Canis lupus familiaris: one gene and its partners. Each later gene encodes a partner of the first gene's protein in a complex. Links are inferred from orthologs where the notes say so. Each region holds a gene or a part of one and is shown on either strand. Other genes may lie near its edges.

Region 1 (4,326 bases):
GCCTGGGCTGCACCTGGGTCTTTCCCTACTGAAAGCCAGTGGCCTGACATCCTCCGGAGTCCAGGGCTGGGTCCTCAGACGCCCGGCAAATCCAGACACCATCCACTGGCAGCAAAGCGCCGGTCCCAGAACTTGGCCACGTCACGTTTCCAGCTCTGCCGTCATCCCCAAGAGCAGGTCACAAAGCAGTGTCCTCAACCCCTGCCCTCCACCCAAGCCTTCTTTCATCTGTCTGCCCAGTTAGCACTTGCCCTGTGGCACCCTGTGCTCCTGCTGCCTCCACCCCTATGTGGTCACATGAACCTCAGGTCCACCAGGAGCTAGAGAGCCACGGGCCATCTGCCCGTGGTCCCACATTTCACATAGGACTGCAGAGTATCAGCCACTGGGGGACGGGAGGAGCATGTTGATGGGGGCCCAGGGCTTTACCTCAGGTCACCATATTCTCTACACGTGTGGGCAGCCCCCCCATTTACCTTATGTCGCCTCCATTCATGATGGTCATCACCAGACAGAGGTCAGTCTTGGTTTCAAATGCATAGGCCAGAGAGACTATAAACCTGCTGTGTACCTTTGCTAGAATCTTCTTCTCCACCATAGCACCCTGAAAAGCAAGATGTCGAAATATTATCAGGTTTAAGCAGGATGTCACCAAAAAGACCAAGTCCCACATGCCAGAAAATAGATGCAAACACACTTGAAGGAGCTTGCACCACACAATTGCAAACAACCTACAGACATCTCACTCATCCCCCAACCAGCCGTGCAAATGTGTGGGTGTACAGAGGACTCGCCAGCAAGGGGCAGGAGTCAGACCACCAGCCTTAAAAACACCGGAGGACCCAGCACAGGCAATGGCAGCCTGTGTGGTGCTGACCTTCCTTCCGGGCCTTCGGTACACCCGGCCAGCTTGCCCACTGCAACCCCAGGCCCCAACCTCCTCTCCAGGCCCTGGGCAGCGGCCAGCCAGGGACCCAGCAGCATCTCTTCATCTTCCAACTGTATTTTAAAACCTCACGATGTCCATTTAACATGTTTTTTAAAATTATGTTTGGTTAAGGAGGGTAGAATTCCTTTTGGAAGGAGGGATCCTGGTGTTCTGGGAGCCCTCTGCATCCACACTACGGAGCAGATGTCAGGTTGCTCTTGCTGAGTATTAGGCTCAGTGAGGACCCCGACCTCGGACAGAAGATGCTGGGTTCAGACCACACGTGGACAGTTGGAAGGGATGCCTGCTTGTCCCGTAGCCCCAAAGGGACAGCACTACTGAGAAGCCCTGGGGTGGGCACCCTGGGTGGCTGCTGTTAACCCCAAAAGTTGCATTTGTGCTCCATTGGCAGGAAAGACAAGGGACCACATGGGATGAGACAAGCTCCTACAACACAGCAGCATCCACTGTCCTGCCTCAACGGAGCCTGACCCCATGCAGAGCAGACCCCATGCAGCAACCCCATGTGCTTGGTTCACTCCGGCCCGGAGAAAGCATGGCGGATGCTACCAGGCCTGGCTGGACTCCCAGCGGCTGGACTCCCAGCGTGCTCTCCGTCACAGACAAGCCAGGGCCAAGAGAGCTCCAGGAAGCCAACAGCCTCCCCCAACACTTGTTCCCAAATTTCATGATGGTGGTAAAAACACAAGACGGCTGGCAGGAGGGGCACCTAGGATGGTGCAGTCAGTTGGGTGTCCAACTCTTGGTTTCAGTTCAGGTCATGATCTCAGGGTCAGGGTCATGGGACTGAGTCCTGCGTTGGGCTCTGCACTCAGCTCAGAGTCTGCTTAAGACTCTCTTTCCCTCTGCCTTTACCCCACCTTCCCCACTCGTGCACACGTGTTCTCTAAAATAAATCTTAAAAAAAAAAAAAAAAGATGACAGCTGGCAGGATATGCAATACCGCCCACACTAACAAACACCTCTAAGGCCGCCTCTGATGAGGGGTCAGGGCAAACCCTGTGGTGTGCAGAGTGCTGGGCCAGGGTGGCAGAGCTGAGGACACCCCCTCTATGCCCCGGGGGCCAGGCCCTTGGCTCAGGATCAGGAGGCTGCCCAGTAGGAGGGGCCCGGTGTCCCAAGGTCAGAGGAGCCAGCCCACAAAGGGCCCCGCGCAGGACCGGACACAGCCCGATGGCCCTCCCACCACCGTGAACAGTCAGCTGCCCACCTGGTACCCCTTCCTTTTCTTGAGTCTCTTCTTGTTGAGCTTCTTACACGCATACAACTTGCCAGTCGCCTTCATCTGGCAGGCAGACACCTCCCCGAAACCACCTTTCCCCAGGACCCTGAAGTCCAGGAACCAGTCCTCCCCCGTAGGCTGGGCCTCCAGCCACTTCCACTGCAGGAACCTCTGGAAGTACAGGCTGCCCAGGTACTCCTGGAAGGGCGCCTGGCTCAGGTGCTCCAGGGTAGCCTGCAGCAGGGGCTGGAACAGCCCATCCTCACTTGCCGTGGGCCCTTCCCGGAACTTGGCCACTACCCCCTCATCCAGGAAGCTGCAGAAGAGCTTGGCCTGGGGGTCCAGGTACTCAGCCAGGATGGCCCGGGCCTTCTGTGGCCGGAGGTCGTCATCTGCAGTGTCATAGTCCTCGATGTCCTTCCAGAGCTCCAGAGCTGGCACATGCCTCTCATCAGCCCCCAGGAACTGCTGGAAAAGCCGCTTGCCGATGGGCTGCTCTGAGCACACACTTGGGAACGCCAGGTCCAGGCTCTCCCGGAGGCCCTCACACTTGGACAGTGGAGGCAACTTGAGCTTAGCCAGGTACTTCCTGTCCCGAGAAGATGGGCCACTGCTCCCATCGAAGCTGCCCCGGGCGGCAATGAAGGCTGAGTTGGCCACCACCGTCTCCAGGGAACCGAAATCCATCCCGGTGCTGGCCTCCTGCCGAGTTAGGCTCGAGAGGCCTGACCCACTGTCCGGGGCCTGTGCCCCCTGCCCTCCCCAGACTGCAGGCGTCCCAATAGGTGAAGAGTGACTGGGGGCCTCGCCGGGAGCCCAGGGAACCCAGCTGACACAGCTCCAGCCAAATCCCAGCCCGGGGTCACAGAGCAGGTGCCAGAAAAAGACAATCCTCTAAGCTGCTTCCAGGCGGATTAGATGCCCATCCTCCCCATTGCTTCCTCTGAGGACAAAGTGCAGACCCCGATGGACCTCCCTGAAGCTGCCCTGTTGGGTCCTCAGCCCTGGCAGGTGGCGCACCTGCTTGTTCCCCTGCGTGAGCCGGAGGCCAAACAGAAAGCAGAGGGGCCCGGGAGAAACCCCAACTTAATATAAGATGGCTGTGGCTTTCCTACTGTATTTCATTTTTGTCTTAAGAAGATAGAAAGCAGGAGGAAAAACAGCTGATATCAGGAATTCAGAGAGAAAAAAAACCCACAGTGAACCGCTCACTGGGTATTCAAGAGTGAAACCACTGGCAGGGGGACTGGTTAGTATGTGGGGACCTGGCCTGACACTGACAGGAGCCTGCCCTCGGGTCACCTGCCAGCTCTGAGGACCTAAGGTAACCTCAGCACCTGCCGGGGGATCAGCTCCGCATCAGCTCCCTCCCCTCTCCTGAGCTGTGCCAGCAAAACATAAACACCCAAGAGAAGCTTCAGGTGAAGTTAGAAGCAGGAGACCCCCAGCCACATCCAGGGCTGAGGCCTCAAACAGAGAAACAGGAATGAGAGGGCAATGATGAGGCCAGGGACACACCTGGAGGCATATCTGGGGGACACACCTGGGGGACACACCTGGGGCACATCCCTGAGGGACATACCTGGGGGCACACACCTAGAGGGACACACCTGGGGCACACACCTGGGGGACAAAACTGGGCACACCTCTGAGGGACACAGCTGGGGGACACAACTGGGGCACATCCCTGAGGGACATTCCTGGGGGCACATACCTAGGGGGACACGCCTGGGGGTACATCCCTGAGGGACATACCTGGGGGCACACACCTAGGGGGATACACCTGGGGGCACGCCCCTGGGGGACACCCCTGGGGATGCCAGGACCAACAGAAATGTCAGACTCATAGGGGCAAGGTGTTGTCCGTCTAGTATGCAGCAGGTACTCTGTAAATGTGCAGGGAAGGAAGTGATGGGGGTCGGTTAGAGTTTGAAGAGGGGAGGAAGTGAGGTTATGGAAACAAGAATGTAGAAGCCAGAGGAGACCAGCAGGACCAGCCCACCCCGTGTCCCTCCTCTGGGAGGCATGGAGGTTCCATGAGTGGGTGAGGGCAGAAGGCAGAGGAGGCCAAGGAACAACCTGCATCTGCGCAACCACAGTCCCTCCTTAACCCCTCCCCAAGTACCGTGAACACTGGCGGGGGTTGGTCGCAGCA
Region 2 (4,400 bases), on another chromosome or scaffold:
GGGCAAAGAGGATTGGAATCTGGCCCTGGCTTAGTTGAGGATTAGGGGCACAGCCAAGGTGAAGGGTTGGGGCGTCTTGGATTCTCCTTGACATGGGGGCTCAGGAGATGGGACCAGCCCCCATAGCAACATTAGGGTCTGATTCTCTCTTCCCTTGCCCTAAACTCCTCCCTTGGGAGAGCTGTCAGGGTGGCCGTTTAGAGTAGGGGACATATAAGCTCGATGCCCAGAACCAGACAGCACCAGGTTTGAGTCCTGGGTGAGGGACCCTACAGAGACCTCCCCCCCGGGGACGGGGACCCTTCTCTTTTGCTCAGTGCCATTACCTGGACCAGCCAGCGAGGGGGGGTGCCGCACAGGCCAGCGCCATGACCCAGGTGAAGGCGACGCCCATGATGGCATGGTTCTCCCCAAAACGGAAGTTGCTCATGGGCTTACACACCACCACGTACCGCTCAATGGCCAGGACCACCAAAGACCACAGGGCAATTTCACCTGCAAGGCAGTCAGGGACTGATCAGTCAACACACCACCTACCTGGACCCCACTGCCTAAGGAGGGAGCACTCCTGGGTGGGAGAGGGCGGCCAGGAAGGCAGCCTGGGGCAGGGCTGGGGCCAGGACTTGGGATGGAGATGGCTTGGACTCTGGGAAGAGGGGTGAAGAACCAGTCTGCGAAGGAGAATGTGCGGAGTAGACCGGGGTGACAGGCAGAGTGCCTGTTGGAGTTGGACATCCTCCCTCCCTCTTAAGCAGTGGCCTCTTCCACTTGGGGAATGAAATAACCTGGGTCTATGGGTCCCGCATCTCAGAGCCAGGAAGCTGGGGAATCATTTGCCCAGAGGAAGAAGCAGAAAAGAATGGGGAAATTTGGGGGTGCCTGGGTGGTTCAGCAGTAGAGCATCTGCCTTTGACTCAGGTTGTGATCCTAGGGTCTGGGGATTGAGTCCCACATTGGGCTCCCTGCATGGAGCCTGCTTCTTCCTCTGCCTGTGTCTCTGCCTCTCTCCCTCTGTGTCTCTCATGAATAAATAAATAAAATCTTAAAAAAAAAGAATGGGGGTATTCAAACATTACCCCAAAACTCAATGGGGAGGTTGGCCATAGACTCTATCAACCAAACCAGGATGTTTCTGAGAGACAAAGTGAACGCTAATAATTATTACTCCAAAATAATAATTGTAAACTGGTGCCAACCTTGCATGGAAGTGCCCACCTGTACATGGTACCTTCTCATCCCTGTCTTCCAGCCTTTTTGTGTGGGGAAGTTCTTCCCCTCTGAAGAAACTCCTTCCATAGGAAGGCATTACATTGTGTGGTGATCTGTAGCTTTGAAAGATGCTTTCGAGGGACGCCTGGGTGGCTCAGTGCTTGAGCATCTGCCTTCAGTTCAGGGCGTGATCCCGGGTCCTGGATCGAGTCCCACATCATCTCCCCACAGGGAGCCTGCTTCTCCCTCTACCTCTGCCTCTGCCTCTCTCTGTGTCTCTCATGAATAAATAAATAAAGTCTTTTAAAAAGAAAAAAAAAGATGATTTCGAATAGTTTCTTTGGAAAAGTGATGAGGGTGCTGGAGAGACAATAGATCCTGTTTAGCAGCTGAGGAAAGTGAGGCCAGGAGAAGGGAAGAAACACATTCAGGGATGTGGCAGGGCAGTGACCAGGGCCTGGGTCTTCCGGCTCAGATCCAGGACTGGCCCCCCTTCTCTGGGACACACAGCCTCTCAGGCAAGCAGGAGAGAGCCCGGGGTGGCTGCAGAGCCTAGCATCAGCCAAAGGACTGCTCTGTCGCCTTGTCTTCTCTTTGCTTCACATGTCCAGGGCGCTGTCTCAGCCCCATTCCCAGGGAATCTCCAGCCATCACTGGGTGTTTGTCACCCTCAATGAACACAGATCACCCAGCTTCAGGCCACGAGACAGGGGTGAGACAGGGGTACCACATATAGACAGACCCTTCTCTGCAGGGTCAGATGGATGCCAGTGGGGAGAGACTGAGCACATTGCCCAACACAGGCAGAGTCCAGTGGCTGGAGAACTGATCATCTGTGTGCCATCCTGGGCTGAGAGCCCTGAGCTCAGGGATCCAACCTGTCCACCCCTATCCCCAGTGCCCGGCATGGGTCTGACCAGCACAGGTGCTCCAAGGGAAACAGAACATGGCCCGAGGGGCCAGAGCGATGTGGGGTGGAAACTCCCCACCACAGTGTGGCCCCAGCAAGGCCATTGACTTCTCTCATGCTCAGATTCCTTGGTGTAAAGGAAGAGAGCGACAGTGTCCAATGCCTGCCCTCAATAAACAGCCTAGCTTATCATCACTAACAGTGTGTGTTGATCAAGTAGACACTGCTGGTGAACATAGTGGGGAGCAGCCCTCTTAGACACCATCCCCAAGTACGGGCTGTCTCTCCAGATCCCTCCACTCCTCCTGGCTCCCGTATCCCCCCCGCCCCATCCCACCACTGAGACCCCAGCTCATACCGCCCAGTGTGGCAAAGAAGCCCTCCACATTGCATCCTGTGGGCCCGAAGACAAAGTATCCATGCAGAGAGGTGTAGAGGGTGGTGGTGAAGCCACCGAAGACCATGAAGAGGTCAGCCACAGCCAGGTTGAGCAGGATGTAGTTGAGAGGTGTACGCAGCTTCTTGTGCTGGACTGTGACGTAGAGCGTGAGGAAGTTGATGGGGAAGCCGAGCACGATCAGCAGAAACATGTAGGCAGCCAGCATGGAGAACTGCCATGGCTCAGCCAGGTAGTACTGTGGGTACTCGAAGGGGCTGCGCACCACACCCGTCTTGTTGGAGAAGGGCACGTAGAAGTTCGGGCCCTCCGTCCCGTTCATGGCTGCGGTCCTGGCGGCTGCCCCGTGGGCGGCTCAGTCCTAAGAGTGCTGCTGAGGCCTGAGCTTGGCCACCCAGGGCTCCGGCAGGACGACTTCAGGCTCTGACCCCCCCCCCAGGCCGTTATAAAGTGACCTCCCCTCCCTAAGCTCCTGGCTGAATCAGCACCTGGGAGATTGGGGGCGTTATTAATCATAATAATCCCCACTGCCGCAACTAGGGGCCTAATTGGCTTCCAAGAGTGGCCAAGGTGACTCTAGACAGAAGCCTGGGGCCAGAGAGGGGAGGTGCTGGGGACCCTGGGAAAGGGCAGAAGGCCCGCCCCCAACTCTTCTGGTCCCCAGGAATCTCTGCCCAGATCAGTCTGGTGGCCTTGGCCTGGCATTGGGACCTCTGGCTCCATGCCATGTCTCCCTCACTCATGTGAGCTGACTTTGTCTCCCCACTGGACAACGAGCTCCCAAAGGGTAGAGGCTCTGGTTATTCTCAGTCTCCTGACTCCCCACGCAGCCCTTTACCAATTTCTTCCCCACAAGTCACCTCCTGGCTCATCCAGTTGCCAGGCTCTGAGCCCAGCCCACCTCACCAGATTATGAGCTCTGTGAGGGCAGGGGCCTCATCCTGCCAGCTGTAGCACTCTTCATGCCAGACACACAGCCCGGCATAGCCCAGGAGCTCACTAGGTATTTGAGTTGGAATCCACTCGCTCTCTCATTCATGAAACATTTATGTACAGACCATTGAGGATACAAAGATCCAGAAAGGAGGAGGTTATGGACTGAGAAAGACTCTGATGTGGGAAGAGCAGATCCAAGTCCAGGGAGGGGCTTCCATGAAGCTAAGGCAGGGGAGACTGTCTATGAAAGGGAGGTGTCTGGGGAGGTGGGGTTTGAGGAAGAGGAGTATATTGCTAGGTTGCCAAGTGGGAAAGACGGGAGACTGAAGACAAGAGCTGGTAGGGGCCTGAGGCAGGGGCCTGTTTGGGGGTGAGGCTGCACATGGGCTCTGGGGCCAGCTCTGATGGATCTTGATGCCAGGCTGAGGAGCCTGGTTTTATCTAAAGGGCAGTGGGCAGTGTCTTGGGCAGATCTCAGGGGCAGATTGGAGGAAATGAGGATAGAAAAGGAGACCAGGGCTTGCTGTGCTGGGCACCAGATTACTGCCGTGAGCAAGACAGGCTTGGTTGTGGCCTCCTGGGACTCCAATGTGAAGGCAAAGCCCAGCCTGGAAACAGAATTGGCTGGACACTGCAGCATGCAGGGCACATCTAGGGACGTCTGGTCAGACTGGGCTGGGTCAGTGGGCCTTGGAAGCTATGTGGCAGGTAACCCCATGAAAGGGGGTTCTGGGGGCAAATGGAGGCTCAGCATGTACAGGCTCCCCCCATCAGTGAAAGGAGCACCATGATGCTTCTGAGGAATGAAGTGGAGCAGACAGGAGTGCCCAGCACAAGGATGCTTTAGGACCACCCTCCAGTACATGTGTGTATGGAGCACCGACAAGATGCTCGGTTCTGACAAATGCAGTGCAGAAGGAGGATGCCTGCAGGAAGTATCGTTCTGTG
Region 3 (2,431 bases), on another chromosome or scaffold:
TCCCCAGGCTCAGGACTGAGATGGAACCCGGCACCCACAGTTGGGTTGCTGGGCACCCCCGGGCTCTGAATGCTGCTGGCCGAGGCTGCTGCCCAGAGCTGCTGAGTTTGCTCCTCTTGCTATAGCATGTTGGTGCTGAAACTTCCCAGACCTGCTCGCCCTCCCTCCAGGCTAATGTCACAGGCAACACTGCCCCTGCCCGAGTGTGTGCAAGGTGCCCCCAACTCCACCCAACACGCTTGCCTGCACCCCTAGTCTGCCCCAACGCTCAGCGCATGGGCTGGAATGGGCTCAGGAGCCACTCAGGTGTCCACTCTGGCCTGGCTGGGCTGGACTTAACGAGCTGATGGGATCCTATAACCTGGAGCTGGCAGGGCACATTGAGACCACCTTGTCCCTCTCTGTTCTCCAGCCCCTTGGATGCTCTCCAAGTGATAGAGTGCAAGGATGAAGGTTCTAGAACCAAACTGCCTGGTTAGAATCTCCGTTTCTTCATCTGTAAAATGGGGCCAATGAAACCCACCTCATAAGGCCATTGTGGAGGTTACGTGTACAAGGGCATGTTACGCGTTCCATGAACATTAGCCGTTGTCACCATAAGCCAACCCAGCTGGGCAACCAAGGTACCACAGGGACCCCAAAGAAGCCATTTGAGGTGGCTGCTGTGGGATTATCAGAAAGCTTTTTGTTTTTTTTTTTTTTTAAGATTTTATTCATTTATTCATGAGACAGAGAGGCAGAGGCAGAAGGAGAAGCAGGCTCCCTGAGGGGAGCCCGATGAGGAATTTGATCTCAGGACCCCGGGATCATGATCTGAGCTGAAGGCAGATGCTTCACTGACTGAGCCACCCAGGCACCCAAGCTTTTTGTTTCTTATCTCATTTTCATTTTTTTTAAATAAAATGAAAGTATTGTTTCTACAGGGTCAGGAAATTCCATAGGTGTAGAGAAGGGGCAAAATAAGTGAAAGCCTTCTTTACCCCTTCACTCCGTTCCCTGTCCCTTCTGAGGATCTAAAAAATACAGATTCCCCAACTCTGCTCCCCTGGGCAGGCTGGGGCCTGGGAATCTGTATTTTCACCTCTGCTTGGGGGGATATCTGGCCCTGGGCATGGGGGTGGGGGAGGGTAACCCCTGCTTCTCCTTCTGATGGGAACTTCCTCTTTATGTGCTGCAGGCTATTTTCAAAATGATCAGTCCTGAGGATGTGAAGCAACTTCCAGAGGATGAGAACACCCCAGAGAAACGAGCAGAGAAGATCTGGGGATTCTTTGGAAAGAAAGATGATGGTGAATTCCTTCCCCCTTAAAAGCGTCTGGTTTTAGAGTCATGGGCTGTTTCCTGGAGGCCCCAGTGAGATTGGTCTTCCTAGGGCCAAGGGGATCCCTCCTCACGGCATGCACTGCAGGGCTATCTGAGTCCCTGGGGGAGAGGGGACCCCTCATCTTGGCATGCACTGCAGGGATCTCTGCATCCCTGGGGGTGCAGGGGGACAGTAAGCAGACCAGCCCAGCTCCACTGTCCCCCTGGAGCAGATGCTGCTGGTGGGGACTGGTGCCACATCCCCCTTGCCCCTTGACTCCATCACCGCCGAGCTCCCTGGGGCAGGGGGAAGGTCTGGATTCTGGAAGGCCAGGGAAGGAAAGGCACCTTAGAGCAGCGTTAGCGCCGGGGGAAGAATGGCTAAGTCAGGACAGCAGCTCCTTAGCCAAGGGCGTACCCACTGCGGGGTTACGGGCTCTGCAAACCACTTTCTGTTTCAGCGGAAGTGCTCACCTAGACGCCTGGGTGTACCTTACTTGGTTCCTAAAATGCTTTCTGCACAGTGAGGACAGGGCAAAGCTTCAGCTCGGCCTGTGTCTGAAGGGGCGTCGAGTCCCAAGTGAGCAGGATCTCAGTTTACCTGCTTTTACGCCGGGGAGTTAATTTGGGTTCCGACAGATGGAATTAGATTTAGATTGGGTTGGAAGCGATTTATTGAGAACTGGCCTTCGAGGGAAAGGAGGGGCTGGAGGAGCCTGGGGAGGCCCAGACTGCAGGGCAGCGGGGCCCCGAGTAGAGAGCCCAGGGCCGCTGAAGACTTGAGGCCGCAGCCCTGCTTTTGAAGGTTTTGGCAAAGCCAGGGGAGCCCCCGGGGGCCCCTTCTTCCACAGGCCGGCCTGCCTCGGTCCCTCCAATGCCCCTGCTCAGTCTTTGGCCACGAGCAGCCCTTGGAGAGGTGGGGTCTCCCTGAAAACAGGGAGGCATTCCAGAACAGGGCAGCTGGTCTGCAGGTGCGTGATGCTCAGGCCAACGCAGGCAGCACTGCAGAGGGGCGGCGTGGGCACGGCTGCAAGCTGGGCGGGGAGCCCCCCGACATGTGGGGACCTGGCAAGTGGCTGCCCGTTCTTGTGGCTTCCAGCTGGTTGCTGCCACCTGGGGACCCGCAGCC

What was found.
Region 2: the proteins of GRK1 (region 1) and RHO are in contact, whole or in part, in a cryo-EM structure (PDB 7MT8), measured with the Bos taurus proteins. The link is inferred for Canis lupus familiaris from reciprocal best matches to the Homo sapiens genes GRK1 and RHO. Residues at the interface, in NP_776598.1 of Bos taurus: Leu6, Glu7, Thr8, Val9, Val10, Ser13, Ala14, Ile16, Ala17, Ala18, Arg19, Gly20, Asp23, Ala24, Glu184, Asp185, Trp186, Phe187, Leu188, Asp189, Phe190, Val192, Arg195, Glu200, Gln205, Met206, Lys207, Lys221, Arg222, Thr256; in NP_001014890.1 of Bos taurus: Lys66, Lys67, Arg69, Thr70, Arg135, Val137, Val138, Val139, Lys141, Ser144, Asn145, Phe146, Arg147, Phe148, Glu150, His152, Leu226, Thr229, Val230, Ala233, Gln236, Gln237, Glu239, Thr243, Ala246, Val250, Met257, Ile305, Tyr306, Met309.
Region 3: the proteins of GRK1 (region 1) and RCVRN are in contact, whole or in part, in an NMR structure (PDB 2I94), measured with the Bos taurus proteins. The link is inferred for Canis lupus familiaris from reciprocal best matches to the Homo sapiens genes GRK1 and RCVRN. Residues at the interface, in NP_776598.1 of Bos taurus: Phe3, Gly4, Leu6, Glu7, Val9, Val10, Ala11, Asn12, Ser13, Ala14, Phe15, Ile16; in NP_776590.1 of Bos taurus: Lys22, Trp31, Ser34, Phe35, Glu38, Cys39, Phe49, Ile52, Tyr53, Lys55, Phe56, Phe57, Tyr86, Leu90, Thr93, Ser94, Phe188, Glu189.

The regions. Positions count from the first base shown.
Region 1 is NC_049243.1:61,066,740-61,071,065, reverse strand, and holds the start of GRK1 (rhodopsin kinase GRK1), read right to left. Parts: upstream 2,859-4,326; coding exon 2,160-2,858; intron 605-2,159; coding exon 477-604; intron 1-476. UniProt on the Homo sapiens protein: Retina-specific kinase involved in the signal turnoff via phosphorylation of rhodopsin (RHO), the G protein- coupled receptor that initiates the phototransduction cascade.
Region 2 is NC_049241.1:5,708,868-5,713,267, forward strand, and holds the start of RHO (rhodopsin), read right to left. Parts: upstream 2,839-4,400; coding exon 2,478-2,838; intron 496-2,477; coding exon 327-495; intron 1-326. UniProt on the Homo sapiens protein: Photoreceptor required for image-forming vision at low light intensity. Required for photoreceptor cell viability after birth.
Region 3 is NC_049226.1:34,533,675-34,536,105, reverse strand, and holds part of RCVRN (recoverin), read left to right. Parts: intron 1-1,177; coding exon 1,178-1,289; intron 1,290-2,431. UniProt on the Homo sapiens protein: Acts as a calcium sensor and regulates phototransduction of cone and rod photoreceptor cells. Modulates light sensitivity of cone photoreceptor in dark and dim conditions.